Linked DNA regions of Stegostoma tigrinum. The protein of the gene in region 1 purifies or fractionates together with the protein of each later gene. This does not show direct contact. Links are inferred from orthologs where the notes say so. Each region holds a gene or a part of one and is shown in the gene's direction. Other genes may lie near its edges. The genes, in order: galectin-3-like and solute carrier family 12 member 2.

Region 1 (16,708 bases):
GATCCTTCGGTCCAACAGTCCATACCGACCATGTTCCCAAACTAAACTAGTCCTACCTGCCTGCATTTGGCTCATATCCCTTCAAGCCTTTCCATTCATTAACTTATCCAAATGTTTTTTTAAATATTGTGACTGTACCTGCATCTCCCACTTTCTCTGGTAGTTCATTCCACGTACGCTTTGTAAAAAAGTTTCCCCTCATGTCCTTTTTAAGTATTTCTCCTCTCATCTTAAAAATATGTCCCCTAGTTTTGAACTCACCCACTCTTGTCATTCACCTTATCTATGCTCCCATAATTTTATAAACCTCAATAAGGTCACCCTTCAACCTCCTAAACTTATTGGCCTTCTTGAACCACTGCCGTTCATTCAGTGTAGGTGCACCCAGAACGTTGTTAGGGAGGGAACTCCAGGATTTTAACCCAGCAACACTGAAGGAGCATACCTCCAAGTAAGGATAGCCAGTGGCCTGAAGGGGAACTTGCAGGCAGTGGTGCTTCTGTGAATTCTAGATGGTCATAACTGTAGGTTTAGAAGGTGTTGTCCAAGATTCCTTGGTAAACTCTTGCAGGGCATCATGCATGCAGCACACACTCCTGACGCTAAGCAAGAACCAAAAGAACTGCGGATGCTGTAAATCAGGAACAAAAACAAAGTTGCTGGAAAAGCTCAGCAGGTCTGGCAGCATCTGTGGAGGAGAAAAAAGAGTTAATGTTTCGGGTCCGGTGACCCTTCCTCAGAATTGACGAAGGGTCACCGGACCCAAAACGTTAACTCTTTTTTTCTCCTCCACAGATGCTGCCAGACCTGCTGGGCTTTTACAGCAACTTTGTTTTTGCTCCTGACACTAAGCATCGGTGTTTGAGGGAGTGGTTTGTGTTTGTGGTGCTAATCAAGCAGACTGCCTTGCCCTGAATGGTGCCAAGCTTCTTGAGTGTTGCTGGAGCTGCACCCATCCAGGCAAACAGGCAGCACTCAATGACACGCCTGACCCATGTGCCATAGATTGTGAACAAGCCTTGGGGGCTCAGGCAGCGAGTTACATGCTGCGATATTCCCAGCCTCTGGGCTGCTCCCACAACCACCGTATCCACAAGGCTAGACTTGCAGGTCAGTGTCTCGTCAATGTTAGCCCCCAGGATGTTGATAGCGGGGAGTTTAGCAATGGTAATACCATCAAATGTCATGATGCAAAAGCCAGATTATCTCTATTAGGGATGGGCATCACCCTAGCAGTTGTGTGGAAAATATATTACCTGGCACCTGTCAGCATGAACATGGATATTGTACATTTGCTGCATTTGGGCCAGGATTGCATTAGCATCTGAAGAGCCACAAACAGTGCTGTACATTGATGACTGCACAATGAACCTCTCCAGTTCTAACCTTATAATGGAGGAAAGCTCGTTGACGAAGCAGCTGATGATAGTTGGGTTCAGGGCACTAGCATGAGGAACTCCTGCAGAGATGCCCTGGAGCTGTTACTCATAAAATAAGAAGTGAACATCTTTGCTGATTACTGCTCAATGTTCAGCACCATTCCCAACTCCCCAAATGCTGAAGTAGTCCATGCCCACATGCAGAAAGACTTGGACAGCAGCCAGGTTTGGGTTGACTACTGGCAAATAACACTAACACCACATTGGCCAGGCAATGACAATCTCCAACAAGAGAGAATCTAACCTTCACCTCACAACAACCAATGGTACTACTACTGCAGAATCCCCCACTATCAAAATTTTGGAAGCTACCATTTAGCCTTATATATATACATACGGCGGTCACAGGAGCAAGCAAGAGGCTGGGAATGCCGCAGCAACTCATCTCTTGATTGCCCGCAGCCTGTCCACCATCTACAAGATACATGTCAAGAGTGTGATGGAAAGTTCCCCACATTCCTGGATGACTGCAGCCCCACCAACACTCACTTGACTCCATCCATGACAAAACAGCCCTCCTGACTGGCATCACATTCACAAAGATCAACTCCCTCCGTCACCGCAGATGCTCAGTAGCAGCAATGTGCAACACCCACAAACTGCACTGCACACATTCACAGCCACCCTCCAGTCAGCACTTTCCGAACCCATGAGAACTACAATGTTAAATGACACAGACTGCAGATACATGGAAACAGCACCACCTGCAAGCTCCCCTCAGCCAAGCTACTGCCCATCCAGATCGGGAAATACATTGCCATTCCCTCATGGTTGTTGGGACACTGCTTCATGCTGCCTCAAAGCAGTCTCACAGTTCTACTTCACTTTCAGACCTGTTCAATATTCTAACAATAAACATTTTCTCTTCCTTTCAGGAATTAAAAAAAAACACAAGCGGCAATAACTCAGAGATATCCACATCCCTCTTCTTCCCTTCCCTTTCCCTCTGACTCCTTTCTTTCTTCTAACCCTACTGCCTGTCAAATATTTGCTATCCCTTTTGATCTTCCACTCTCTGATGCTGAACATTCTATACTTAGCAAAGGTTTTAGTTATATCCTTCTGCACCATAATGAATTTCAGGCAAGACATGACATTGAACTCTTCTTCTTCTTCTTCCACCTCCATGCCCATTTGTTTGGTTAGGAGTGCTCTCCCCATCCCATGGACACCTTCATCCACTTCCAGTACCTCCACCTTAAACCCTCCCTCTGGTCTTTTATATTGACTGATCATTGTGTACACGCTATCGGTTGGCTTAGGTTCTCTGTTCCCTCACCCATATGAACTGATCTCCTTCTGAACTGGCCGCACTCTGTGCTCTCACATTCAATCCTGTCTTTATCATCAAGCCTTCCAACAAGGGTGGTGCTGTTGTTATTGTTTCGTGTACTGACCTCTAGATTACACAAGTTGAGCACCAGCTCTCAGATACCACCTCCTATCTCTTCTGAACAAAACGATGCCACCACCGAGCATCAGGCTATTGTGTCCTCGACGCTTACCAACCTCGCCTCATCTGGGGATCTCCTACCAAAGGCCTTCCAGCTCATAGAATCCCCCACTCTGTACAGCCCGCTTCTACCTTCTCCCCAAAATCCACAAAGCAGGATTGCCTGGGCAGACCCATTATTTCTGTATGCTCCTAGCACATGGAACTTATATCTTCCTATCATTACTCAATTTTTTTCTCTCCTTATCCAATTCTTGTCCACTTACATCCACTATGTTTCTGACACTTCATGCCAGTTTCAACATTTCCAGTTTACGGGCTCTAGCTATCTCTTCTTTACACTTCCATGCCACATCAGCTTGGTCATGGGGCTCTCCACATCTTCCCAAAAGAAGACCTGAGCTATTCCCATTCACTACCACCCTCCTCTGCCTGGCTGAGCTTGTCCTCACTTTGAGAAACTTTTCATTTAACTCCTGTCACTTTATTCAAATCAATGATGTCACTATGGCAATAGGCTGCAATGATGTTAGAGACTGATCTTTCATCCTTGCCTACTTTTAATCTTTACATATGCAATTTAGCTAAAAATGTTATCTCTTTTACTGTCGTTACCTTAAGCACTGTAATAAACAAACCTTTATCTTGTGACAAAGTTGAAGATCGAGGTACTCGCTGAAGAATAATGCCAGAGGATTCCATAGTTTTGGACAAACAGAGGCGAACTGACTACATAAAGCTCGGACAGTATTACAGTCTACTGTATTAGTCATCTGACAAAGGAGCAGTTTTCTGAAAGCTTGTGATTCAAATAAACCTGTTGGACTATAACTCGGTCAAAGAGATAACAAAGTGTGGAGCTGGATGAACACAGCAGGCCAAGCAGCATCTTAGGAGCACAAAAGCTGATGTTTCAGGCCTAGACCATTCATCAGAAAACAGGGATGGGGAAAGGATTCTTAAATAAAGGGAGAGAGGGGGAGGCGGATCAAAGATGGATAGAGGAGAAGATAGGTGGAGAGGAGACTATGGGTTGGGAGGTAGGGACGGGTTAAGTCAGTCCAGGAAGGACGGACAGGTCAAGGGGGCGGGATGAGGTTAGTAAGTAGGAAATGGAGGTGCAGCTTGAGGTGGGAGGAGGAGATAGGTGAGAAGAACAGGTTAGGGAGGCGGGGATGAGTTGGGCTGGTTTTGGATGCAGCGGGGGGAGGGGAGATTTTGAAGCTTGTGAAATCCACATTGATACCATTGAGCTGCAGGGTTCCCAAGCGGAGTATGAGTTGCTGTTCCTGCAACCTTTGGGTGGCATCATTATGGCACTGCAGGAGGCCCATGATGGACATGTCATCTAAAGAATGCGAGGGGGAGTTGAAATGGTTTGCGACTGGGAGGTGCAGTTGTTTATTGTGAACTGAGCGGTGGTGTTCTGCAAAGCGGTCCCCAAGCCTCCGCTTGGTTTCCCCAATGTAGAGGAAGCCACAATGGGTACAGTGGATGCAGTATACCACATTGGCAGATGTGCAGGTGAACATCTGCTTGATGTGGAAAGTCATCTTGGGGCCTGGGATGGGAGTGAGGGAGGAGGTGTGGGGGCAAGTGTAGCATTTCCTGCGGTTGCAGGGGAAAGTGCTCGGTGTGGTGGGATTAGAGGGGAGTGTGGAGCAGACAAGGGAGTCCTGGAGAGAGGGTCTCTCTGGAAGGCAGACAAGGGTGGGGATGGAAAAATGTCTTGGGTGGTGGGGTCGGATTGTAGATGGCAGAAGTGTCGGAGGATGATTTGTTGTATCCAGAGGTTGGTGGGGTGTTATGTGAGGATGAGGGGAATTGTCTTTTGGCTGTTATTGTGGGGACGGGGTGTGAGGGATGAGGTGCGGGAAATGCAGGAGAAATGATGAAGGGCGTTCTCGACCATTGTGGGGGTGGATGTTGTGGCCCTTGAAGAACGAGGACATCTGGGATGTGCGGGAATGGAATGCCTCATCCTGGAGCAGATACAGGGTGGAGGTGAAGAAATTGGGAAAAGTGGATGGAATTTTTGCAGGAAGGTGGGCAGGAGGAGGCGTATTCCAGGTAGCTGTGGGAGTCGGTGGGCTTGAAATGGATATCGGTTTCTAGGTGGGTGCCTGAGATGGAGACAGAGAGGTCCAAGAAGGAGAGGGAGGTTTTGGAGATGGTCCGGGTGAATTGAAGGTTGGGGTGGAAGGTGTTGATGAAGTGGATGAACTGTTTGAGCTCCTCTTGGGAGCACAAGGCGGCGCCGATACAGTCATCAATGTAACGGAGGAAGAGGTGGGGTTTAGGGCCAGTGTAGGTATGGAAGAGGGACTGTTTGTCTGACTTCTGACTTTGTCCACCCCAGACCAACACTGGCACCTCCACATCATACTATTTTATTCACAATTTATATTCTTGCAGCCAGAATTAACGTGTGACTAATATACCTAACAAAAAAAACTGTGTAAGTATTCCACAAAGCATATCAAATAGCAAATGTTGTCAAGGTAGATTTCCCAGCAATGACACCTAGATGTCTGTGACAGTGTGGATTGTCAAATCTGAATTAACTTTACAATAAACTTCAATTTCTTCTCTTTTGATGAACTAGCTTTGCAGCCCCCGATAAAGGAATTTCAGCACTTACCAGAACAAGTAGTGAAGTGTGTGGCATGAGCTAGAAAACCTAAAATTTTAAAAACTGGAACAAAATCTCAGAGGTATGAGGCAGGCCTGTTAACCAATTCATCTTGTCACTCAGTGACTACCTCTGCTTCTGGGGACTGGCACGTACGATTCTATCCTGCGTTACTATTCCAAGAGTTGTGTCTGATAGCATACCTTTTCACAAGATGGGTTTGGTAACAGTCATTTATGCACGGGTGTCTCTTCACTCTTGTTGTCCATACCTATCTTTTTTGACAAGTAGAACTCATACTCTAGTGGTATTAAACATGTTTTGTCTCACAATAAATGCCTGCTTAAGCAAATCCTCCTGATTTTCTATCATTTTTCCAATTAACAGATTTTATATAGCTATGTGAAATTAACAGAGGGCTTCAGAACTAAATACATAGATCATATTGGATGTATTGGTCAAGGTTATTGGTGAAAAACTGAAAAAAAATTTCAAAGGTTCATGGCAACTATCACCAAGAACATAAAAATGGATTGAATTTTCAAATTCAATTAAACAAATTACTATGTTAAAAATTAAACTCTGTTCAATCTACAAAGTGTGCTTTGTTGATGCCCACAGGACCAGATACATTTGCAACATGGAGAAATGGAACTCTTTTATGCTTACATTAAAAGGAAAAAGCTGGACCTAAAAGGTGAAAGACTTTTACTGCATTCACAGCACTGAAATGACCTTAACAAACAGCCGATAAGAATATTAAATGGCTTTCATTATCGAATGAAGAGGAAGATCTAAGAACAGAAATAAGGTAAGCAATGGCAAAGGAAAGCTACATTGAAAAGGCTGGGGAGAAAGTATAACCTGAATGATTTTTAAAAAAACAAGATGTGAGAATGGTGAGAGATAGAGAAAAAATGAAGACTTTGATGGACAGTGTCTGGTGAAGCAAAACAAATGAGGCTGACAGAGATCATGGTAAAGTGACTGAAAAGCAATGATAGGTATTTCTTATACTCATTGAACTGCAAAATACTTCAGATGCATGCGCAATCAATATCTGTCACTTCATTGTTGCTACCCACTACGGGTACCAAAGTGGTGCTGTTCCTCACACATCTGCCAGGGTTCACAATTAAATCATAAAAGGAACAAGAACATTCAGCAGCTCACGTATTTCCTTCACAACTATGCTACCACGTAAAATGGATGGTGGTGAATCACAGTCTATTTTACATTTTTCTCAGTTTTCATTTTCATTGAAAATAATAATTGAAGATTGTACTGGAACCAATCTTTACAGTTTTGTATTTTTAAAGTTACTTCTTTCAAGTAGACACTCTAAACTAATTAACAGTTTCTGTTGTGACTAAGCTAAGTGAACATCTCTGGAGATAAATTCACGTATTTACCTAGAAAAGGGATTTTAATACGGGGAGGGGAGCACATTTTAAGATGAGAGGAGAAAGATATATAGTGATATTGGGGACAAAATTTTAATACAGGGGTTTGCGTGTGGAATGAACCTCCTGAGAAAGTGATGGATGTTGGTACAATTACAATATTTACAAGACATTTGGATAAGTACATGAATAAGAAAGATTTGTGGGAAGATGGACGAGGAGCAGGCAGGTGGGACTACTTTAGTTTGGGATTATGTTAAGCACGGACTAGTTGGACCCAAGGGTCTGTTGGCGTGCCGTATGACTTTAAATGGGGAGGATAAAGCAATGGGGCCGAGAAGATTGAGTTACCGCTGTGCTGTGCATTATAGTTTCTAACTCAAACGTTACGAGTAAAAGATCATTTTTCTAGTCTGCCTTTTAAACAAGGCCAACAGTATTGGGTTGGCTTTAATGTAAAGAATGCAAAGAAAATAATAATCAAGGAAGCAATATGACAAGCGCAATATGATGTCCATTTCCAAAATTCGATCGCAGCGTTCTCAGCAGTATGTAGCGGCTCCCCGCATCCAACTTGCATTCCGCAGTCACTTTTTTTATCCAAGTTACAAACTTCACACAAAGTGTTGAGAAGAGATAGTAGGAACTGCCGATCAGCATTAGAGGAGCAGGAAAGTTTGACATTTCGCGTCGAGACCGTTCATCAGAAAATTAGAAAAAAATTAGACCCGAAACGTCAAACTTTCCTGCTCCTCTGATGTTCATCCAGCTTCACACCGTGTTATCTCAAAGTCTTGAGAATATCAGGTGAAATATGACGATACGAACGTCGGGAGGTTATTTCATTTGAACCATGTCAGTAACACTTCTGCGCGGTTTAATTCCAAACTGGGGCATGTCTAAACGGGGTTGTGCAGCCACGCCCAGGGAAAGGCGCTGCAGTGAACCTCCCAGGGCGTTGGTTGGAGAACTAAAAATCTCACATCACAGGCTGGTGTTAAACCGGGAAATCAGGTCAGCCGTCAGGCTGGGGTCTCAGCCCGGTGCACTGCGGATTCAGGAAGGGCCGAAATCAGGCCGCGTGTTGGGGGTCACTGCGCCCAGGGATCGGGTCGGGAATTGGGGGTCACTGCGCCCAGGGATCGGGCCGGGTATTGGGGATCACTGCGCTCAGGGATCGGGCCGGGAATTGGGGGTCACTGCGCTCAGGGATCGGGCCGGGTATTGGGGATCACTGCGCTCAGGGATCGGGCCGGGTATTGGGGATCACTGCGCTCAGGGATCGGGCCGGGTATTGGGGTCACTGGGACTGGGTGATCGGGCCGGGTACTGGGGATCACTGCGCTCAGGGATCGGGCCGGGTATTGGGGATCACTGCGCTCAGGGATCGGGCCGGGTATTGGGGTCACTGGGACTGGGTGATCGGGCCGGGTACTGGGGTCACTGTGAGTGGGGAATCGGGCCGGGTACTGGGGTTTTTTAGGGGAGAGCCTCGGGCTGAGTACTTGGGTGGTTACAAGAGGGGGACGAAGTCTCTGGCCGAGTACTGGGGTCTATTTTTGTGTGGGGGCGGGGGGGGGGAGAGTGGAAGAATGGCGATCACTCGGCTATTGGGGTCTCCGGTGGGGAAACTAGCGAAACTTTCGGAGACTGGGCAGCGCTGCGTCCCGATTATCCGCAGCTCGGGTTTCCTGCAGTTTCCATGCAGATAGAAAACAACAAAAGTGTGGAGCTGGATGAACACAGCAGGCCAAGCAGCATCTCAGGAGCACAAAAGCTGCTGCTGCTTGGCCTGCTGTGTTCATCCAGCCCCACAGTGTTGTCTCGGGTTCTCCAGCATCTGCAGTTCCCATTATCTCCATGCAGATAGAAACCTGTTTATCCAGGTTTTTTTGCGGTCTCAGGGCGGGCGTTTCTTCACTTACTCACTCCTTTCTCAGTCGCCATTTGCTAAACCCACGCGTTTTCCATTTCAGAAACGTTTCTCCTTCAGCAGAATCATGGTAAGAAATGTTAGAATCTTTTTGTTGTGTAGGTAGCATCGCACCGATATGTACATTTTTTAAGCATCTGGTGAATGAGCCCTGGTGTTAAATTACAGCACTGCCTTCACCCCGAGTATTTTTGCCGGGGGTTGGTGGTGTAGCTTGTATATTTGAAAGTATTTTTGTTGGCAATGTTCATCATATCAGGATGTCCAAAACTGCACGATATCTAATTGAGTTATTTCAGAGTGCCGTCACTGTTACCATTATAGGACTGAAGATTTTTACATTGACAAATTGTAGAGTGAAGTTTGGCATTTAATGGGAATACCGCAAAAACATGTTAATTACTAGAGACGTGAAATTAAAACAAAAGTAGATAATGCTGGTAACACTCAGCATCTGTAAGGAAAACAGCCAGAAAGTTTGTTTATGTTTAAAGCCTGGGATTGATGTTACAACAGTTCTGTAATTGTTTCTAGCAGTTTTTAAAACATTACCAGTGTCTTGTTGCGAGAAACTGATGGTTGTTCTCTGAATCATTGACTTGAGGTGAGATCTACATGGGTGGTCCAGACCGCAGTTTCATAGAGATTTATCCCACCAAGATATTTTTAAAATATAAGCTTGGGGAAATGTGTCCATGAATACTGATACTCCCCAGCAACTGAAAGACAGACCTTTTCAATGTTTTATTTTATATTCAAGCAACTGTACAAGCATAACAACAAGTATTACAAAAAAGAAATCCACATCTTTACCACTCATATCTGTGTTAGAACAAATGCTGTGAATTGTCAGTCTGAAGTTACCTCCTCAGATTACAGTTTTCTCACCACTGCTGAAACTTGTACTCTGTTCTATCAGAGATAATGGGAACTGCAGATGCTGGAGAATCTGACATAATAAAGTGTGGAGCTGGATGAACACAGCAGGCCAAGCAGCATTTCAGGAGCACAAAAGCTGACGTTTCGGGCCTAGACCCTTCATCTGATGGGTCTGCTTGGCCTGCTGTGTTCATCCAGCTCCACACTTTGTTATCTCTGTTCCGTCATAAGGCGTTTAGAGTGCAGGGAGTTATTTCTCTTAAACTTGTTGCCTTTCGTAAGTAACTGCAGGTGCATTTCTGTTTCTATAGAATGCATTTTCTTAGCTCAGTTGCTAATAATTTTCATTTTGAAAAAGGTAGCCACAAACCACTAGGTGCAGTGCAGTTTTACAGTGTTGACGTTTACAGTGACGTTTATCACACATATTCTCGCTCTTTGGGACTGTCTGCATTCCAGCAGAGTTAAAGGGATTTGTTTAGTGAATAGCTCCTGTTATTGTACATTAGTTAGCACTTCATATTCTCCAGGTCTGTTTGACTTTTGACATCAGTTTAGTTAAATTTAATTTTATTTCATTTCCTGCAGCAAACTTACATGGCAGATATTACCTTATAATGCAAAATGTTTTGTAGAATTGTAGAAACTTACAGCTCATAAGGATAGAAACATCGAAAATAGATGCTGGAGTAGGCCATTCGGCCCTTTGTACCTGCATCACCATTCAATATAGTCATGGCTGATCATGTGATTTCAGTGTCTCACTCCTCCTGCTTTCTCTCCATACCCCTTGATCCCTTTAGCCATAAGGGCCAAGTCCTGAACCCCATGAATATATCTAACAAACTGGCCCCAACAGCTTTCTGTGGTAGAGACTTCCACAGGTTCACTGCTCTGAGTGAAAAAAATCTTCCTCATCTCAGTCCTGAATGGCTTACCCCTGTGAGGCCTAGTTCTGGACTTTCCCAAAATTGGGAACATTCTTCACGCGTCTAGCCTGTCCAGTCCCATTGGGACTTTGTATGTTTGTATGAGAGCCGCCTTCATGCTTCTGAATTCCAGTGAGTATAAGACCAGTCGATCCAGTCTTTTTTCATATGCCTGACCTGCCATCCCGGGAATCAGTCTGGTGAACCTTCACTGGACTCCCGCAATAGTAAGAACGTCCTTCCTCAGACTAGGAGGCCAAACCTACTCACAGTACTCGAGGTGCAGCCTCACCAAAGGCCCCATATAACTGTAGCAAGACATCCCCGCAGCAAGACATCCCTTCTCCTATACTCAAATCCCTTTACAATGAAGGCCATGAAGCCATTAGCTTTCCTCATGGCCTGCTGCACCTGCATGCCAGCCTTCAGCAACTGTTGCACCGTAACACCCAGGTCTCATTGCACCTCACCTTTTCCTAAAAGCCACCATTCAACTAATAATCTGCCATCCTGTTTTTGTGACATCACAGTATTCCATATTAACATTGCATTTATCAAATATTTGCCCTCTCGAACAGTCTGTCCAAATCACTCTGCATCCTCCTCACAGCACATTCTGCCACCCAGTTTAGTGTCATCTGCAAATTTGGAGACATTGCATTCAATTCCTTCATCTGAAGCGTTAACATATATTGTGAACAGCTGCGGTCCCAGCATTCAACCATTCTGAAAAGGTCCCGTTTATTCCAACATTCTGCTTCCTGTCTGCCAACCAGTTCTCTATCCACATCAAAACATTACCTCCGATACCATGAGCTTTAATTTTCCTTACTAATCTCTTGTGTGGACCTTGTCAAAAGCCCTTTGAAAGCCCAGATACACAACATCCACTGATTCATCTTTGTCCACACTACTGGTCATATCCTCAAAAAATTCCAGAAGATTTGTCAAGCATGATTTCCCTTTAGTGAATCCATGCTGTCTTTGACCGATCTTGTCACTGCTTGCTAAATTATTACATCCTTAACAATTGACTCTAGCGTTGTCCCACCACTCTTGTCAGGGTAACCAGCCTATAACTCCCCATTTCCCTCCCTCCTTTTTAAAAAGTGGGGTTACATTAGCTACCCTCCAGCCATGCGGACTTATTGAGTTTTGATCCCGTTATTTTCCCCAATACTATTTCCTGACTGGTAAGGATTTCCTCATGTTCCTCCTTCATGCTTGACCCTCTGTCCCCTTGCATTTCCAGTTTGACCCATCATGTCAGTGCTGGCCTTTCGAAAGGTTGTGCTTAGTTCTACATCCTGCTATTTATTTGTGACCCTGAAAGTTCCTCACTGTTAAGTACCTTTTTAAAATATAATTTGTAAAATCATCTTACAGTTCCATTTCAGAGACAGCATTCCAATGGCAACAATGCTATGTGAAAATTAACTCCTGTTTTCACTTCATATGTTTCCCCAATGATTTTGAATCTATAACTTGTAAATATTAATTCCCTCAGCAGAGACATTTCCCCACCTAGCTTTTGAATATCAAAAGCTCCCTAGCTTCAAACTCCTACTTATGTCAGCATCTAACCTAAGATAATAAAATGTGAGGCTGGATGAACACAGCAGGCCAAGCAGCATCTCAGGAGCACAAAAGCTGACGTTTCGGGCCTAGACTCTTCATCAGAGAGGTGGATGGGGTGAGGGTTCTGGATTAAATAGGGAGAGAGGGGGAGGCGGACCGAAGATGGAGAGAAAAGAAGATAGGTGGAGAGAGTGTAGGTGGGGAGGTAGGGAGGGGATAGGTCAGTCCAGGGAAGACGGACAGGTCAAGGAGGTGGGATGAGGTTGGTAGGTACGAGATGGGGGTGCGGCTTGGGGTGGGAGGAAGGGATGGGGTGAGAGGAAGAACAGGTTAGGGAGGCAGATACAGGTTGGACTGGTTTTGGGATGCTGTGGGTGGAGGGGAAGAGCTGGGCTGGTTTAGGGATGCGGTGGGGGAAGGGGAGATTTTGAAGCTGGTGAAGTCCACATTGATGCCATTAGGCTTCAGGGTTCCCAGGCAGAATATGAGTTGCTGTTCCTGCAACCTTCGGGTGGCATCATTGTGGCACTGCTGGAGGCCCATGATGGACATGTCATCTAAAGAATGGGAGGGGGAGTGGAAATGGTTTGCGACTGGGAGGTGTAGTTGTTTGTTGCGAACCAAGCGGAGGTGTTCTGCAAAGTGGTCCCCAAGCCTCCGCTTGGTTTCCCCAATGTAGAGAAAGCCACACCGGGTACAGTGGATGCAGTATACCACATTGGCAGATGTGCAGGTGAACCTCTGCTTAATGTGGAATGCCATCTTGGGGCCTGGGATAGGGGTGAGGGAGGAGGTGTGGGGGCAAGTGTAGCATTTCCTGTGGTTGCAGGGGAAGGTGCCGGGTGTGGTGGGGTTGGAGGGCAGTGTGGAGCGAACAAGGGAGTCACGGAGAGCGTGGTCTCTCCGGAAAGCAGACAGGGGTGGGGATGGAAAAATGTCTTCGGTGGTGGGGTCGGATTGTAGATGGCGGAAGTGTCGGAGGATGATGCGTTGTATCCGGAGGTTGGTGGGGTGATGTGTGAGAACGAGGGGGATCCTCTTTGGGCGGTTGTGGCGGGGGCAGGGTGTGAGGGATGTGTTGCGGGAAATGCGGGAGACGCGGTCAAGGGCGTTCTCGATCACTGTGGGGGGAAAGTTGCGGTCCTTGAAGAACTTGGACATCTGGGATGTGCGGGAGTGGAACGTCTTATCGTGGGAGCAGATGTGGCGGAGGCGGAGGAATTGGGAATAGGGGATGGAATTTTTGCAGGAGGGTGGGTGGGAGGAGGTGTATTCTATGTAGCTGTGGGAGTCGGTGGGCTTGAAATGGACATCAGTTACAAGCTGGTTGCCTGAGATGGAGACTGAGAGATCCAGGAAGGTGAGGGATGTGCTGGAGATGGTCCAGGTGAACTGAAGGTTGGGGTGGAAGGTGTTGGTGAAGTGGATGAACTGTTCGAGCTCCTCTGGGGAGCAAGAGGCGGCGCCGATACAGTCATCAATGTACCGGAGGAAGCGGTGGGGTTTGGGCCCTGTGTAGGTGCGGAAGAGGGACTGTTCCACGTAACCTACAAAGAGGCAGGCCTAGCTGGGGCCCATGTGGGTGCCCATGGCCACCCCCTTAGTCTGTAGGAAGTGGAAGGAGTCGAAAGAGAAGTTGTTGAGGGTGAGGATGAGTTCGTCTAGGCGGATGAGGGTGTCGGTGGATGGGGACTGGTCGGGCCTGCGGGACAGGAAGAAGCGGAGGGCCTTGTGGCCATCTGCATGCGGAATGCAGGCGTATAGGGACTGGACGTCCATGGTGAAAATGAGGTGTTGGGGGCCAGGGAATTGGAAGTCCTGGAGGAGGTGGAGGGCGTGGGTGGTGTCATGGACGTAGGTAGGGAGTTCCTGGACCAAAGGGGAGAAAATGGAGTCCAGATAGGTGGAGATGAGTTCTGTGGGGCAGGAGCAGGCTGAGACGATGGGTCGACCAGGGCAGGCAGGTTTGTGGATTTTAGGAAGGAGATAGAAACGGGCCATGCGGGTTTCGGGAACAATGAGGTTGGAGGCTGTGGGTGGGAGGTCCCCTGAGGTGATGAGGTCATGAATGGTGTTGGAGATGATGGTTGGTGCTCGGGTGTGGGGTCATGATCGAGGGGGCGGTATCCCTCACACCCTGCCCCCGCCACAACCGCCCAAAGAGGATCCCCCTCGTTCTCACACACCACCCCACCAACCTCCAGATACAACGCATCATCCTCCGACACTTCCGCCATCTACAATCCGACCCCACCACCCAAGACATTTTTCCATCCCCACCCCTGTCTGCTTTCCGGAGAGACCACTCTCTCCGTGACTCCCTTGTTCGCTCCACACTGCCCTCCAACCCCACCACACCCAGCACCTTCCCCTGCAACCGCAGGAAATGCTACACTTGCCCCCACACCTCCTCCCTCACCCCTATCCCAGGCCCCAAGATGGCATTCCACATTAAGCAGAGGTTCACCTGCACATCTGCCAATGTGGTATACTGCATCCACTGTACCCGGTGTGGCTTCCGCTACATTGGGGAAACCAAGCGGAGGCTTGGGGACCGCTTTGCAGAACACCTCTGCTTGGTTCGCAACAAACAACTACACCTCCCAGTCGAAAACCATTTCCACTCCCCCTCCCATTCTTTAGATGACATGTCCATCATGGGCCTCCTGCAGTGCCACAATGATGCCACCCGAAGGTTGCAGGAACAGCAACTCATATTCCGCTTGGGAACCCTGCAGCCTAATGGCATCAATGTGGACTTCACCAGCTTCAAAATCTCCCCTTCCCCCGCCGCATCCCAAAACCAGCCCAGTTCGTCCCCTCCCCCCACTGCACCACACACCCAGCCCAGCTCTTCCCCTCGACCCACTGCATCCCAAAACCAATCCAACCTGTCTCTGCCTCCCTAACCTGTTCTTCCTCTCACCCCATCCCTTCCTCCCACCCCAAGCCGCACCCCCATCTCCTACTTACTAACCTCATCCCACCTCCTTGACCTGTCCGTCTTCCCTGGACTGACCTATCCCCTCCCTACCTCCCCACCTATACTCTCTCCACCTATCTTCTTTTCTCTCCATCTTCGGTCCGCCTCCCCCTCTCTCGCTATTTATTCCAGAACCCTCACCCCATCCCCCTCTCTGATGAAGAGTCTAGGCCCGAAACGTCAGCTTTTGTGCTCCTGAGATGCTGCTTGGCCTGCTGTGTTCGCCCAGCCTCACATTTTATTATCTTGGATTCTCCAGCATCTGCAGTTCCCATTATCTCATCATCTAACCTTCTGTGTTTCCAGGAATGAAGTCCTAACTTCCACAACCCCTCATCCTCAGTAGTATCCTAGTAAACCTCCTCTACGCTTATTCGCTTTCTAAAGTGTACTGCCTGGAATTGCTACAGTTTGGCAGCAAAGGTTAAACCTAACTTATTCAAATGTATAACATCCTGAAGGGGCCTTCCAGGGTGGGTTTTTTCCTTTGGCAGGCGAATGTAAACACAGGGACACAATTTCATCTTTGTGTTTCCCACATTTCTCAGTAAACAAGCAGAAGTGCAGCTTTAGTTGAAGTCCTTAATACTTCCCTCTCGTTTCTCTTTCTTTCCATTTATTGCTGTCTTTCTCTTTCAGCCACTGTCTTTCTCTCTCCTTGACCATGTGCAAGAAAACAGAATGCTTCCAAATAACAAATGATTGCTGATTGTTAAATTTCCTTTTGCCCCACACCCCGTTCCAAATGAGCAGTTGCAACTGTTGTTGCTCTGATAACTTTGGTAATGTAATGGAAATGCAGATGTTAATGATATGATGATTTAACACTGAAGTTCATCTTCATGTGCTATCGCATTACTGAGAGGAGAGGATGGAATATCCTCTACTGGAGAGGTGTGCTACAGAGATCAGAACTGTGTATAATGTTGCATAAAGAAAAGTTTGTTGGAACTCCTGGAAGTCAGACAATACAAACATTAGGAGCAGAATTCAGGCTGTTGAGCCTGCTGTGCCGTTCAGTAGGATCATGGCTGGTCTGTTTGTTTCGAATTCCGCATTCCCATCTATTCTGATAACCCTTAAATGGCTTGCCTGAAGAAGTCTATCTCTGCCTTAAAAAATATTCAAGCACCCCAGTTCCATTACCAGAGAGTTACAATGTCATACGGCCTTCTGAGAAACAAAGATTCTCCTCACCTCTGTCCAACAAATGGTGACATCTAATTTTAAAACTATGTCCTCCCATCGCTCTATTCAGCCATAGGAGGAAATATGACTTCGATGTCCACCTTGTTGAGACCATTCAGGATTTTATATACTTCAATCCAATCATCTCTTGCTGTTCTAAACATCAATAGAAAGAAGCCCATTCTATCCAACAACATGTCACTGTTGGCTAAACCAGAGACCTGGATATGCACACTATGTGGAAACAGTACAATTTAAAGGAGCAACCTGTCAGCAGTGCAGGATAGATCC
Region 2 (16,706 bases), on another chromosome or scaffold:
GACAAAAATCCAAAATTCTTGATTTGTAGACAAATATGAATGTATCAATTTACAATGCTGCCTTCAAGTGTGTCTTCACTTAATATTCATAGTGTCAATGTGTTTTACTGATATTAGTAAAATTTTAAACACATCATGATACCAATGCTTTTAGGAATGCGCAAAGAGAAGGAGGTGGTGGAGGTTGGTACAATTCATATTTAGAGGGATATGGCCCAAATGCTGGCAAATGGGACTAGATTTACTTTAGGATATCTGGTTAGCATTGGGTTGGACCAAAGGGTCTGTTTCTGTGCTGTAGCGCTCTGACTCTAAGCATTTCTTGAATGCATCTGAAGTTTAGACCTTCTGAATTTCACGCTGTTTGCATTGTGATGTTTTTCTAACACGATCCAAGCTTATCTTTGTCAGTTTTAGCAGATTGCTCTTTTCTGGTTATTTTACATTTTTGGGATTAAATTTATTTGTACCAATCAATATTTCACTCTCGTATCATTTCTGTTTCTGACACAACTTCCTCTTTTTCATGACTACAGGATTTCATGTTAAACCATTTCTGATATGCCAGTTCTTTACCATCCAGACCAGTCTTTTATCTCTGTACTGCCTGGCTTGAATATTTCTGCAGCATGCAGTTCCCACAAACAGCTAATTTTACAACTTTCATGCAAAATCTTAATCATTCTACTTTGTAATGTTTTGTCTTTAATTTATTTTAGAAACATAAGCTGATTGCCTCCTTGATTTCAACACCTATCACCCCCAGTAAAATCTGATATTGGTAAAGTTGCATGTTTGTTTTCATCCTTTTTTTTTAACGTAGATTCAGCATTTTGGGCATGAACATTCTAATCTATCTGATACTGCTTGCTTGAAAACTGCCTGCTGTCAGCTTCCCCACAACTATTCCTGTTGCTGATTGTGCTTCAGCTTCATCGCAATGCAAATAAGTTGTAGCTGAACTTTATTCTCCACACCAGTCCCTTTTTTTGTAGCCTTTTTATTTTTTATCAAAACCTCTTGGAAGTTGAAAGATTCTAATTTGCGGATTTGTCTCTTTTTGTCATGAAGTGAAGAGAAAAAGAAACCTACAGCACAGGAACAGGCCCTTCGGCCCTCCAAGCTTGTGCTGATCAAGTTCCTCTGTCTAACCTGTCATCTATTTTCTAACGGTCTGTGCCCATTTGCTCCCTGCCCATCCATGTACCTGTCCAAATATATCTTAAGACACTAACGTGTCTGCGTCTACCACCTCTGCTGGCAACGTGTTCCAGGCAGCCACCACCCTCTGTGTAAAGAACTTTCCACGCATATCTCCGCTAAACTTTCCTCCTCTCACTTTGAACTCATGACCCCTAGTAATTGAGTCCCCCACTTGGGTGGCAGGGGGAAGCTTTTTGCTATCCACCCTGTCTATACCCCTCATGATTTTGTAGACCTCAATCAGGTCCCCCCTCAATCTCTGTCTTTCTAATGAAAATAATCCTAATCTATTCAACCTCTCTGCATAGCTAGCACCCTCCATACCAGGCAACATCCTGGTGAACCTCCTCTGCGCCCTCTCTAAAGCATCCACATCGTTTTGGTAATGTGGCGACCAGAACTGTACACAGTACTCCAAATGTGGCCGAGCCAAAGTCCTATACAACTGTAACATGACCTGCCAACTCCTGTAGTCAATACCCTGCCCAATGAAGGAAAGCATGCCATATGCCTTTTTGACCACCCTATTGACCTGCGTCATCTGTTCAGTTAAAAATGGGACTTTTAGGTCCAATTCCCTTTAAATCTCACTGTGTATTTGTTTGATTTTGACTTCTTTAGAGGGGAGGGTTTGGCTTAGCTGTTCTATCACTGGCCTGTTAATCCAGAGACCCAGGGAATGTTCTAGGGATAACACGGTGTGAAGCTGGATGAACACAGCAGGCCAAGCAGCATCTGAGAAGCAGGAAAGTTTGACGTTTTGGGGTGATGAAGGGTCTCGACCCGAAATATCAAACCTTCCTGCTCCTCTGCTGCTTGGTCTACTGTGGTCATCCAGCTTCACGCTGTTATCTCATTCTCCAGCATCAGTGGTTCCTACTACCTCTGTAACAACATTCTAGGGAACTAGGTTTGAATCCCACTATGGCAGATTGGGATTTTAAATTTATAATAAATATATGGAATGAAGAGTCTGATGACCAATCCACTGACTTTTTTTTTTTCAGAACAACCCACCTGGTTCACTGGAACCAAAGGGGAAGGAAACTGCCATCCTTACCTGGTGTTGCCCACACATGACTCCAGACCCACAACAATGTGGTTGACTCTTCTGTCTTGGGATGGACTAGACCTAGCCAGCAACTCCCTCATCATGTGAATGAATTCAAAAAAAATCTGTTCCTAATTTTTTTGATTAGCATATGTACTTTACTTAATTTATTCACTTTGAGGGATGTGGGCATCGCTGGCTGGGCCAGCATTTATTGCTCATCCCTGTTGCCCTTGAAGGTGGTGATGAGCTACCTTCATGAACCGCTGCAGTCCACCTGCTGTTGGCTTACCCACAATGCCCGTGTACTGTTTGGTGACCTGCTGTAAATCCTGACCTGCTATATCTGGAGTCCTAACGAATGTTAAAGACTTTATGGAATGGACAGTGCTCCAATTAACTTTGCTTTCTATCAACATTGGTCTGAAAATCTTGTTCGGATTTCTGTAAAAAGCATTAATTATTTACTACAACTAATAAGACTCGGGCTCCGGGTCAGCCAATATAAACCATCATGAACTAAAACTGTATTCCCATCATGAACACGCTGCCTACCTCTGGCCAACTTGCTTAGATACTTGAACCAATGTTCTGCTTGTTGGGATGCAAAAAAAGGTTTCTGCCATTGGTCTGTGGCTAGTGATAGTCATCAATCAACCTGTATTGATGCATCTCTGTGCAGCACACCAACCCTGCTACCTCCCCCCCCCCCCCCCCCCCCAGCTTCATATCTTGTGCAATCTGAACTTCAATTACTGCTTAATCAGTAGTTGCTTGTTAGCTGCTGTCATTGGCAGAGACTTCCCCTCAGAACTGCAGCCACTGTTTTGAAACAGCAATTTGTTTTTGTACTCTCTTTAAACTCTTTTTAGCGCTTGCTCATTTCAGCCCCCAATTTTTAAACACCTAGGCAGTCCTTCTATCGCACGGTGAGTTTTACATTTTTGTGGATGCTCCTCTTTCTTCTAGTTTGACTACATTTGCCTTGCTTCCAATTCTAACTTTCCAACGCTGACTCCAACATGATCGCAATTTTCATTCTCTGGTTGGTTTTGTTAGCCTGGGGTAACTGCTGTCTATTTTTGTGGATTTCTTAATTTTGATCTCTATTTAAGTTCCAGCTCATTCACTTCATCCTCATGTTGGAGCTGCTATCACTTAAAAGGTGCTGTGTATTCTAGTTAAGATAACAGGGTGTACAGCTCTGAACACAGAAGGCCAAGCAGCATCAGAGTAGCAGGAAGGCTGATGTTTCGGGCCTGGACCCTCCTTCAGAAAATGGGGAGGTTTAGGGGGTTCTGTAATAAATTAGGGAGAGAGTGGGGGGTGGACAGAAGATGGATAGGTGGAGAGGAGACAAACAGGTCAAAGATGTGGGGATGCAGCCAGTGAAGGTGAATGTAGGTGGGGAGGGGATATGTCAGTCTGGGGAGGATGGACAGGCCAAGGGGACGGGATGAGGCTAGTAGGGGGCTGGGTCTTGAGGTGGGAGGAGGGGATAGGTGGGAGGCAGGCGGGGACAAGCTGGGGTGGTTTTGAGATGCGATTGGGGAAGGGGAGATTTGAAGCTTGTGAAGTTCACATTGATACCATTTGGGCTGCAGGGTTCCCAAGCAGAATATGAGTTGTTGTTCCTGCAACCTTCGGGTGGCATCATTATGGCACTGCAGGAGGCCCATGATGGACATGTCGTCTGAGGAATGCGAGGGGGAGTTGAAATGGTTCACGGGTATCCTATTTTCTAGCTTCTGTCAGGCTCAATCACCTATTTTAAGAACTTTTCCTTTCTTGAAACAATTATGCATTGCATTTGGCAATTATGCTCAGATTGATTTCCTTTTGTATAAAATTCCCCAATAAATCAAGTCCTCATTTTTTTTTACATCTAACTTAAACCTAATGTTTTGCCTTCAATCTTCCTCTCTAAGGTGGCAGTTCACATTAAGGCCATTTCTTTTATAACTTTAGAAACCATGGTTCAATTACTTCACTGAGCAACTTTCTTTCCTTTCAGCCTAGAGTTCTTAAAAACCCTTCAGCTATGTCTCTTAGAGAACTGCATACTAACAATCTAATTTTATTCTTCCTAAACATTCTGTACACCTTCTCTAGGGTAGTTAAGGAAGTGTGGCAAATACTCTCCTTACCACTACTGAATTTTCAAAATTTTTCTTGTTAAGTTCCACATGATGAAATAATCGTAGAATATTTCTAATGCACCATAACTTGATTAGTTCGTGTTTTTTCGCAATTTTGGGTGCTTTCAGTTATTCATTCAATTATAACTCCTAATTAGATTGTAAACAATTGTTTGTCATTGATCTACAGTTGACTTAATAAAGACCCCAAAGTTGTTAGAATTGTGGCAATTTAGCTGTGATTCTAAATTACTTATTTAAGAAGCAGTTATCACTTACAATTGAAATTTTAAAAATAATTTGTTTATGCAGTGTTAGTTTTAAATGCTGCAGAAGTTATAACGCTTTCACCATCAAAAGGATCTGGTGATAGAAGAAATATTGTATGTATCCAAGTCTGTTTGGAGTGGGAAATGTTCCGATTTTTGATTCTTTTTGAAACTTGAATTCAAATATAGAGAAGCTGAATTGCAGGGTTAAAGGTTAGATTTTTAAAAATTATCTTTGAAAAGCTGGTTTATTGCACAGGGACAAAAATGTCAAGATGAGTGTTTGTTTGGATCCTGCAGTTCTTTTTGGATGTGCTATTTAAATTATGATCTCGAGCATCAATTCTCTAGAACAATTGGTTTGTCCTAGGTTTGTTTTGGTGCACACCCATATGAGCAGGAAGTGGAAATGTAAATTTTTCCAAAAGCATTGTTTGGCAAAATTCTTATGCTTTCTGAGGGGACAGCTTAGTACTATGTATGTGTTTGTTTGTGTATGTTAGTGTAAATGTTATTTTCTTTTGCCTTGAAGGAAATATTTGTTAAGATTTTCCTTTTCAAAAAGGAAAATTTAAGAAAATCCTTATTAGAACCCCTGATGCAATTTAAATTTTATCTCATGCTTTATAAATACAAAATAAACTCTTAAATCTGAGCTGTCTTTTACTGGTTCACTTTAGGCATGCTTTTGGTGATAGTGCAGTTAAATTATAGCACATCTTAAAAAGCAGTATTCCCTATTAACCGCCTCAACCTCTCCACCCCTCTCACCCACTCCAACCTCTCCCCCGCAGAACGGGCAGCCCTCCGCTCCCTCCGCTCCAACCCCAACCTCACCATCAAACCCGCAGACAAGGGTGGCGCAGTGGTAGTATGGCGTGCTGACCTCTACATCGCCGAGGCCAGACGCCAACTCTCCGACACCACCTCCTACCGCCTCCTCGATCATGACCCCACACCCGAGCACCAAACCATCATCTCCAACACCATTCATGACCTCATCACCTCAGGGGACCTCCCACCCACAGCCTCCAACCTCATTGTTCCCCAACCCCGCACGGCCCGTTTCTATCTCCTTCCCAAAATCCACAAACCTGCCTGCCCTGGTCGACCCATCGTCTCAGCCTGCTCCTGCCCCACCGAACTCACCTCCACCTATCTGGACTCCATTTTCTCCCCTTTGGTCCAGGAACTCCCCACCTATGTCCGTGACACCACCCACGCCCTCCACCTCCTCCAGGACTTCCAATTCCCTGGCCCCCAACACCTCATATTCACCATGGACGTCCAGTCCCTGTACACCTGCATTCCGCATGGAGATGGCCTCAAGGCCCTCCGCTTCTTCCTGTCCCGCAGGCCCGACCAGGCCCCCTCCACCGACACTCTCATCCGCCTAGCGGAACTCGTCCTCACACTCAACAACTTCTCTTTTGACTCCTCCCACTTCCTACAGACTAAGGGGGTGGCCATGGGCACCCGCATGGGCCCCAGCTATGCCTGCCTCTTTGTAGGTTACGTGGAACAGTCCATCTTCCGCACCTACACAGGCCCCAAACCCCACCTCTTCCTCCGGTACATTGATGACTGTATCGGCGCCGCCTCTTGCTCCCCAGAGGAGCTCGAACAGTTCATCCACTTCACCAACACCTTCCACCCCAACCTTCAGTTCACCTGGGCCATCTCCAGCACATCCCTCACCTTCCTGGACCTCTCAGTCTCCATCTCAGGCAACCAGCTTGTAACTGATGTCCATTTCAAGCCCACCGACTCCCACAGCTACCTAGAATACACCTCCTCCCACCCACCCTCCTGCAAAAATTCCATCCCCTATTCCCAATTCCTCCGCCTCCGCCGCATCTGCTCCCACGATAAGACATTCCACTCCCGCACATCCCAGATGTCCAAGTTCTTTAAGGACCGCAACTTCCCCCCCACGGTGATTGAGAACGCCCTTGACCGCGTCTCCCGCATTTCCCGCGACACATCCCTCACACCCCGCCCCCGCCACAACCGCCCCAAGAGGATCCCCCTCGTTCTCACACACCACCCTACCAACCTCCGGATACAACGCATTATCCTCCGACACTTCCGCCATTTACAATCCGACCCCACCACCCAAGACATTTTTCCATCCCCACCCCTGTCTGCTTTCCGGAGAGACCACTCTCTGTGACTCCCTTGTTCGCTCCACACTGCCCTCCAACCCCACCACACCCGGCACCTTCCCCTGCAACCGCAGGAAATGCCACACTTTTCCCCACACCTCCTCCCTCACCCCCATCCCAGGCCCCAAGATGACATTCCACATTAAGCAGAGGTTCACCTGCACATCTGCCAATGTGGTATACTGCATCCACTGTACCCGGTGCGGCTTTCTCTACATTGGGGAAACCAAGCGGAGGCTTGGGGACCGCTTTGCAGAACACCTCCGCTCAGTTCGCAACAAACAACTGCACCTCCCAGTCGCAAACCATTTCCACTCCCCCTCCCATTCTCTTGATGACATGTCCATCATGGGCCTCCTGCACTGCCACAATGATGCCACCCGAAGGTTGCAGGAACAGCAACTCATATTCCGCCTGGGAACCCTGCAGCCATATGGTATCAATGTGGACTTCACCAGTTTCAAAATCTCCCCTTCCCCCACTGCATCCCTAAACCAGCCCAGTTCATCCCCTCCCCCCACTGCACCACACAACCAGCCCAGCTCTTCCCCCCCACCCACTGCATCCCAAAACCAGTCCAACCTGTCTCTGCCTCCCTAACCGGTTCTTCCTCTCACCCATCCCTTCCTCCCACCCCAAGCCGCACCCCCAGCTACCTACTAACCTCATCCCACCTCCTTGACCTGTCCGTCTTCCCTGGACTGACCTATCCCCTCCCTACCTCCCCACCTACACCCTCTCCACCTATCTTCTTTACTCTCCATCTTCGGTCCGCCTCCCCCTCTCTCCCTATTTATTCCAGTTCCCTCCCCCCATCCCCCTCTCTGATGAAGGGTCTAGGCCCGAAACGTCAGCTTTTGTGCTCCTGAGATGCTGCTTGGCCTGCTGTGTTCATCCAGCCTCACATTTTATTATCTTGGAATCTCCAGCATCTGCAGTTCCCATTATCTCTATTCCCTATTTTAGTTTATTGCTGATGGAAATACCTAGATATCACTGTTGTAGAAAGTAACGTGCTAACTCCTTTTGTTTGTTATGCAGTTAATTTTTCACAGGTGCTGCAGGTGACATCTGATTTTTAACCTGGGTCTTGTTTGTACTCATTGTGTAATTAAAAAAAAAATCTGGCTGTTGGGTTATGATTTTACCGTGTGCAGGGTATGATGACTTATGAAACCAACAATGTTTTTTTTGCATATTGGAATGCTGGTAATCTCTTTGGAAGCCTTGAAGACTTGTTTAGAAAAGTGGCAACACTTATCATAAGTGACAGCCTGCATCCATATCTTTTGCTTACCTCCTTCTCCTCCTCTCCTCTTCCCCCCCCCCCCCACCCCCCACACATAAGCACTCCCTTTGTCTTTCACTCCAAGCAACCTTTTTAACATTTTGTTCCATTCAGTCCTCTTGCTCCACTATTTTCTTGAGAGTTGGGGGTGGTGGCGATTGGGTTAGGTGGTGAAACAATCATTTTCCAGCCCTCTTCTAAAGATATCAAATTGAGCTTAAAACATTAACTTTTCTGCCCTTTGCAGATGCTGCCAGATCTATTGAGTTTCTCTCTCTTTTTTAAATATTTTATAATTTTAATATTTCCACTTAGTTTTTGAATCAGAGTTAGGGTACAGAACAGGTCCTTTGAGTCTGAGATAACCAGGTGTAGAGCTGGATGAACACAGCAGGCCGAGGAGCAGGAAAGCTGACGTTTAGGGCCTAGACCCTTCAGAATATATAAATATACAAAAAAATGAATTTTCTGAAGAATGGCCTAGACCCGAAACATCAGCTTTCCTGCTCCTCTGACGCTGCTTGGCCTGCTGTGTTCATCCAGCTGTACACCTTGTTATCTCAGGAACTGCAGGTGCTGGAGAATCTATCATCTCCCTCCTTTTTAAGTCTGTACTGCCAAAAATATACTACTGCCTGCATAGCCCCACCTTCTCTCACTAGGCTGGTAGCCTTGATGAACACTTAATGTGTCATAACACCCAAGTACACTTTTAAAGATTTGAGGTTTCTCGTTTTGACTACCCTCCCTGGCAGTGCATTCCATATCCCCACCATCCTCGGATGGAAAATTGTTTCCTGAAATCTCCTTTTAAACTGCTCGTCTTTTTCAGTTGTTAAAAATTGTTTCCTTGTCTTTGACACTTTTTTGACTAACGGCAACAGTTGCTTTCTATCCACCCTGTCCATGCCCCTCATCATCTCATACACCTCGACCAGGTCCCCTACAGCCTTCTCTGCTCCAAAGAAAACAAGCTGTGCTTATCCAGCTGCACTTCATAGCTGAAATACCCTCTTTCCCCCTCTCCCACCCATCTCTATGTAATTCTGTTGATATGTCCTGGTCTATTTGTGTTTATCCCCTTTTTTTCTTTAAATGCATAATAGTTATTGTTCAAGATCAGATTGCTGCAGATGCTATGTTATCTTTTTGAGGGTTCATTTGGAATTGGGAAGTTCTGATTGTGTGTATAAATGTGCGCCTGTCTCTTTAAACCTTGATTTATTTACAGCCCTGCTGTGCTTGTACCTACTTGTTTAAGGAATCCAAAAGTAGTTTGATTGCCCTACTACAGTCCTGTATCTTCCTTTTGCGTCAACTTTGCTTCCAGTTTGAAACCAATAGCCTGTCTCCACTGCTCCCAATAACAAATCTTCCCACATTGATAAATGTGGAATTGTTTATTTGTAATCCTCCTAACTGTCCATAGTTTTTAATTGATGAGATCACAATGGAGTTTCCCATGTGAAACGGTAGTCTTTCCCCGGTTTGCTCTGTCAGACTTAACCAATTTCAAAATTCTCCTAGCTTTCTCTACCAAGCTGAAAAATTCCTTTAATATTCTTAACTGATTCATTTACAACCTGAACTGCTAACATTACTCCTTTTTTATTTCTTTTGTTTCCTATCTAACAACTAATTTTCTATTTATACTTTTATTCTGTTATACCTGAAACTTTGAAGCCTCCTATGAAATTCCTTTTTTAGAAAGCCTCTGACAGTCCAAAGACACTACGTCTGTAATCCTAAAATATGCATTACTCATCTCTCGAAAAACCTCAGACTTTAGAATCGTGACTTGCTTTTGTGAAATATGCACTTGGTTATTTGATTCATTGATCTCGTTACGGATTGAGAGTTTGGCCTTGGCAGTTAGTTGGCTAATGGATCTTTAGTTGCCAAGTTTAATTCTGTATGTTTTTATGAAGTGGCTGCCTCAGCTATAAACTGATTTTGTTGGGAAATCTAGTTCCTTCCCATTCTGTCTATATGTTAACTCTGAAACAACACCATAATATCCTGTTTACCAGAACACAACATTGGTTAATAGAGCTGGCTTGAGAAATGGTTTATTCTTGCATTGTTTCTTTTTTTTTGTTCTTTTCATTAACTTCAACCTAATAACACAGGTGATATATTGCACAATGCAGTTTTTCTTTGAACTTGGAATGCAGTAGGTAATGGTTATCTTGTTAGGTAAATCTGAAATAACTTCCTAAATTGTGTATGATTTGAAGTAAGAAGTTATAAGATTAAAACCTTTTTTGATTTTGTTTTGCAGGAGCCTTTTGAGGATGGTTACGCAAATGGAGAGGAAGCCAGCCCAGCTGAAGAGGCTGTGTCAAAGCATGTTGTTGACAGTAAAGGTGTTGTGAAGTTTGGCTGGGTTAAAGGTGTTCTGGTAAGTTAGTTGCTAGCTTTTGGCTTTCAGTAGATAAGCTGATATTTAGTCATCAGCTTTGAACTTTTTCTGGGGCAACATGCTGTCTTGGTGGTTAGCACTGCTGCCTCAAGGCACCATGGACCCAGGTTTGGTCCTAGACTGGGGCATGTGCGCGAACTCCACACAGACATCTCCTCCTCTTCTTCACCACCACCACCACTCTCTTCTCTCCTCCCCCCCCCGGCCAGGTGTATGGGTGCTCCAAGTTTCTTCCCATAGTCCAACAATTTACAAGTTAGATGGATTGGCTGTGGCAAATTGCCCATTGTGTCCAGGAATGTGCAAGCTAAATGGTTAGCCATGGGAAATGTAGGGGAATGAGTGTGGGTGGCCTGATCTCTTGAGGGTCAGTCTGGACTTGATGGCCCAAATGGTCTGTTTCCACACTGTGTATGGATTCAGTGGTTCTATGAACTTTGAAGCTGTTACTTTTAATTTTGTGGAGCTTTTTAGAAAACTTTTGATTCTTGGGTTGGTACAACTTTGAACAACACCTTTCTTTCATCCCAAAGTGGGCAGTGTCCAGCAAATGTCTCATTTTATATGGCTTTGTGAAAGTAGATTTCTTTTTGCAGGACTGAATTTCTAGACTTTGAATGTACAATAACCACCTCTGCATCTCATTTAGCTCCATGATAAAATTCAGTACTGATATTCAGGCAAAATTGTTGCTTTATGTTGACAACTTGGCCCTAATTCATAGATCCCGGTTCCAACTCTCATGCTGTGACTGTATGGAAAAAGAGACGCAGACTTTTTTTGTTCCCCACCCCATCCCCAAAGTGGTGGTGCTTCTTGCTTTTACAGTTAATGTTACTGTTCATCACTGTTCCAACGTTCCTGCAAATAACACTTACTGACTGCACTCTTGATACACTCCTTTTGAAGGAAAAATGCATGCAAGTAAGCTGACTTTTTAAACTTACAAAGTCAGTTTATTTTGATATAAAATTGAGATCTAATGGGAATATTCCTGATTTACAGCATCCGCAGTTCTTTTGTTTTTTATTAGAAATCTAATGGGCATTGACTGTGTGAAAATTCTCTTTCTTAGACTTTATTTAAGAAGTCCATGACAAATTGTGAGCAATTTGCAGACTAAAAGTTGGACAACAGGAAAATAATGAAGCAGCTTCAATTTGAGTTGATTCCCTGTTTAATATGATAATCAGCCTGCAGTAATGCAAATCTCATCAAATTATTGTGGTTCTGAATGTATTATGGAATTTTGAGAGATTTTCAGGCTGTTGATTTGAAAGACCCATAACAAATGGTTTAATAATCTGAATTACTTTATTATGTGATACTTGTAAATTGAAATTGCTGCATGCAATAAAGGTGCTGTAGCATGCATTTTGGGGAAGTTGGTGTGGGTAGGTGTGCACATCTCACTACTGCCTGTTTTAACGTGACCAGACAGAGCAGAGTACAGGTCCCATCCCTCCCCATGTACACCTTTTTTGATTTTAAAGTTCGCAATGATGCCTTTTACAATTGTTTAATCACAAGGCTTTTCCTGCATCGCAGATCTTCTAGGCATCACTACTGACCCCAGACTGAGGGCCATTTCCCAACTGTTCTTATAAAGCAAAAGCATTCAACTGACAAAAATATGCTTTGTTGGGTGGAGGGGGGTGGTGTGGGGGAGTGCTTTATACACTTTATTTCAGAGCTCCCTCCCCCCCCCCCCCCATTTCTGAAGAAGGGTCCCGGACCGTGATGTCAGCTTTCCTGCACCTCGGATGTTGCCTGGCCTGCTGTGTTCCTCCAGCTCCACACTGTTATTTCTTTATACTGAAGTTTTTTTTTGTGTATAAGTGAGGCACTATTGGACCCATGGTACCCCATGGCACTTGGTCAATAGTCCATCATTAACTACCTTGTCCTTTCTCTCATTCCTTACAAATCTTCCTTTTGAAAACTTGAAATACCACCTGCACCCTCCGCTCATCACATTAAATCCTTCCATGTGAAGACGCAGACAAGTGAAGTTGTCATCGGCTTACTGGACCGTAAGGCTACCTTGACACAAGCACAACTAGTGATGGTTTGACCAGAGGGGCGAGTTTGAGAAGGCAGGTCTTTCATGGCAACCTCGGCCAGTGCAAGAATTGATCTTGCTCTAACATTTATTCTTTGTTGTAATCCAGCTATCTGAGCTATTTGTTGCATCTGCCCATTGCAGTATTGGTTGGAGGGACTGTGACAGTACGGGTGAAGTCTAATCTTTGCTGATATATGGCACTGAAACCAATGAAGAACAACACCTTTGTCAATGGGATGGATTTCAGATGAGTCTAGCAACTCTACTTGATGCCAATTAGGTTATGTTGATCATGAACAGCATGTATTCAACCACAGTCTGTACCCTCATGGCGTGGCATGTTCTCCATTTCCCTGTTACTGTCCAGGCCCACTTCGGGAATGACATCAGGTTTTCCTAACTGAGTGCGCCACTAAGTGAAACTACAGCAGGGGGCTTCCTGCATGCTGAACATTGGCAACAGTGTGTGATAGTTGGGGCTAGGTGATCCCACTGCCAGTGGATCAGATCTAAACTCTGTAATCCTGCCACTTCTGATCGTGAATGGTGGACAATGAAATAACTAATGGAAGCAGGCTCAAATATTTATCTTTTCCCAGATGAATGTGCACTGTGAGCTAGGCCAGCACTTGTTACTGTCTCTAGAGCTATTGAGGATGGGCAGTAGTGAGCAACCTCCCTGGACTGCAGCGCTTGTGGTGTGTCGGTACATCCACAGTGCAGTTGAGAAGGAAGTTCCCTGATTTTGACCGGGTGGCAGTGAAGGAACAGTGATTACGGTTCCAAGTCCGGCTTGGTTTATAATTTGGAGAATTTGCAGGTGGTGCACTACTTAGGAAGTACAGGTCATGGGTTTGGAAGGTGATATTGGGGGGACTTTGAGTTAGTGTAAAGTTATTTTGTAGATGGTAGATGCTGTTGCTGCTGCAGCACTGGCAAAGGTATTGAATGTTGAAAGTGGTGGATGAGGTGTCAGTCAGTCAGGCTGCTTTGTTCTGGAGGGTGTCTAGCTGCTTTTTAGAGCTGTTACTCAACTTGGAAACTGGGGAGCATTTCGTCACAGTCCTAATTTGTGCCGTTGTGGTTGCTGGACACATTGGGCAGTCAGAAGGTGAGTTATTCATTGCAGAATTACTACCTTCTGTCCTGTGACAACAGTATTGATAAGGCGAGTCCAGTTCAGTTTCTGGTAGATGAGAATATCTGGGATGTTGATAATGGGGGACTCAGTAATGGTAATACCTTTTAAAGGGGTGATGGTTAGTTTCCCACGTTGGTGATGCTTATTGCCTGGCACACACCTGGCCAGAATGTTGCCTGACAAATGTTCCAGTCCTTTATCTTCTGAACACTGCAACACCTTATCACCCTTTCATTAACAAAATGAAACCAGAGGCATATACAGGGTCAAGTGTGATAACAATTCACAAATGGTATTGGACCATCTGACCAAAAGCTCAGCACATAAGTTTTATGGAGGAGCAAGACGACAACTCTGGAAAGGGTAGGTCCACTCCATGACAAAGGAAGGAATTTGTGTGGAGCCAGAGGAAATGGGTGAGTTCCTTTTTAATGAGTACTTATCCTTCTCCTTGGCGTATACCAGTGCCATGATGGTAAGATTAGGAGGAGTGTGTTTTTATATTAAAGGGCATGTCAGTATTAGGAAGGAGGATGTGTTGTGTTTTGAAAAAATCTGAAGTAGCTAAGTCTCCAGGGCTTGATAAGATCTATCCCGGCACACTAGGGAGGCAAGGGAGGAGTTTGCTGGAGCCTTGGCAGAGATCTTTTGTATTCCCTTTAAACATGTGTCCTAGGGGACTGTTGAGTAGCCAGTGTCCATCCTTTGTACAAAGGCAACAGGGATAATCGAGGCAACTATAGGCTGGTGAGATTTACATCAGTTGTAGGTTCATTAGAAAATTGAGAAAATTGTTAGGAACAGGATTGACTCGCATTTGGAAAAGAAAGGACTTGAGTGATAGCCAGCATGGGATGTCTTGTGTCTCAAATTTGATTGTTCCCTTTGAGGAAGTGATACAGAAGAATGAGAGTAGGGCAGTGGATGTTGTCTGAGTTTTAATAAAGCATTTGAAAAGGTCCCTCATGGTAGGCTGCTTCACAAGATTAAATTAATAGGATCAACCCACGTGGGTAAATCGGGTACGAAATTGAGAGGGTAGTTGTGGAAGGGTGTCTTTCTGAATGGACGTCTGTGAGCAGAGGGGAATGTAGCTCATTGGACTAATAAGTTTACAGATGACCTGAAAATTGGTGGAGTTGTAGATAGTGAGGAAGGTTGTCAAAGAATACAGCAGGTATAGATCAATTGGAAATTTGGGCAGAGGAGTTTAACCTGAACAAGTGAGGTGATGCATTTTGGGAGGTCAAATACAAGATGAAAGTATACATTAAATGGCTGGACTCTTGGCCAAATGCAGGAAAATGGAACTAGTTTAGTTTTGGGAAACTTGGCACGAACAAGTTGTACCAAAGAGTCACAGCATGGGAAGAGATCCTATGATTTGGGGTGGAAGTCCTTCATTCCATGAAAGTGGTAACAAGTGGATGTGGTGTAGAAGAGGGTGTATAACATGCTCCTTATCATTGGTCAGGGCATGGAATATAAAAGTTAGCAACTGGTTGTAACTGTATGAAACTGAGTTGGGTGACGTTTTGGAGCATTGTGCGTCGTTCTGGTTGCCCCACTTACAGGCAGAATGTGAAGGCTTTGGAGAAGCCGCAAAAGGTTTATCAGGATGTTGCCTGGTCAGATTCTATTAGCTCTAAGGAGAAGTTGGATTGTTTCTCCAGAACATTGAAGGCTGGCAGGAAGGTGTTGTCCAGCTTAAAGTATATAAAAATTCAGTGGCATGGATAGGGTGGATAATTGGAGTCTTTCTCCCAGCCAGGGTGGAAATGTCAAATACGAGGGGCAAATGTTGAATATGGCTGGGGTGGGAACGGAGTTCAAAGGAGATTTTTAAGAGGACGATAGGTGCTTGGAATATGCTGCTGGGGAGGTGGTGGTGGTAGTACGTATGATATCAATGTTTAGGAGACATTTGGATTGGTAGGGATTAGAGAGAGAGAGAGAGATATGGACCATGTGTAGCCCGATGTGCTTGGTTCAGAATGGCATCATAGTCAGTGCAGATGTGGTAGGCCAAAGGGCTTGTTTCTGTGCTGTACTGTTGATGTTTTTCTTGAAAAGTAGAAAGTGAGGTGGACATCTGCAAGTGAGATTCTAAGGCTCAGGCAATTGAAGTCCCGATCACCAAAGGTTGTGCAATTAAGATTTGGGAATGCGTAACTAATAACAGCAATACTGTTGAGCTGTATCGCCTTTAAACATGATTCTGAAGAAACTTAAACAACTATTTGGTTATACTTAATTTGCTGCCTGCTTGGCTGTCAATGTTAATTGCTAAGAATTTGGAATATGCAATTATCAGTCGTCTTTATTTGTGCTGTCTTGGAATCTTTTCCAATCCACTAGGTACGATGTATGCTAAATATTTGGGGTGTGATGCTCTTCATCCGTTTAACATGGATTGTTGGCCACGCTGGAATAGGTATGTGGAAAACCTCAACTTATTCTACTGATGAAAGTCAATAGATTGAAATGTTAGCATTTTAAGTGTTATTTTCACCTTTGTGTTAAATGATTCTGTCATTTACAGTAGTGTGTTAAATGCAACATATGGGTTGTCTTCTGTCCTCATCTTTAATTAAATGCTAGGTGTTGAAGTTGAGCAGCTTTTGTTCACAATTGACCATGAAATACTTAAACTCCTGCTATAGCTAGCTATAAATTAACTTCCATGGGAGCATTGTTAAAATTTCAGTAAACCTTTCCCAATTATGCCACAGTTTTTCAGGAAACTTGACTTAATCAACTAACTTAGTGAAATGCCCATCCATGGAGGGGGCAGGTGATGGCCTAGTGGTATTACCACTGACTGTTAACCCTGAGATCCAGATAATGTTCTAGGGACCTGGGTTTGAATCCCACCTCAACAGATGGTGGAATTTGAACTCCATTAATATCTGGAATTAAGAGTCTAATGATGACCATGAATCCATTGTTGATTTGTTGGAAAAA

What was found.
Region 2: the proteins of galectin-3-like (region 1) and solute carrier family 12 member 2 purify together in Homo sapiens (affinity purification with mass spectrometry; 3 studies listed by BioGRID and IntAct, counting the BioPlex papers as one, with this or other methods). This does not show direct contact. The link is inferred for Stegostoma tigrinum from reciprocal best matches to the Homo sapiens genes LGALS3 and SLC12A2.

Annotation. Positions count from the first base shown.
Region 1 is NC_081363.1:47,873,166-47,889,873, forward strand, and holds the start of galectin-3-like, read left to right. Parts: upstream 1-7,833; 5' UTR 7,834-7,941; intron 7,942-8,852; exon of another isoform or gene 8,853-8,856; coding exon of another isoform or gene 8,857-8,874; exon of another isoform or gene 8,875-8,903; 5' UTR 8,904-8,927; coding exon of another isoform or gene 8,928-8,930; exon of another isoform or gene 8,931-9,082; intron 9,083-16,708. UniProt on the Homo sapiens protein: Galactose-specific lectin which binds IgE. May mediate with the alpha-3, beta-1 integrin the stimulation by CSPG4 of endothelial cells migration.
Region 2 is NC_081356.1:2,366,092-2,382,797, reverse strand, and holds the start of solute carrier family 12 member 2, read left to right. Parts: upstream 1-10,395; 5' UTR 10,396-10,515; intron 10,516-16,100; 5' UTR 16,101-16,109; coding exon 16,110-16,176; intron 16,177-16,706. UniProt on the Homo sapiens protein: Cation-chloride cotransporter which mediates the electroneutral transport of chloride, potassium and/or sodium ions across the membrane. Plays a vital role in the regulation of ionic balance and cell volume.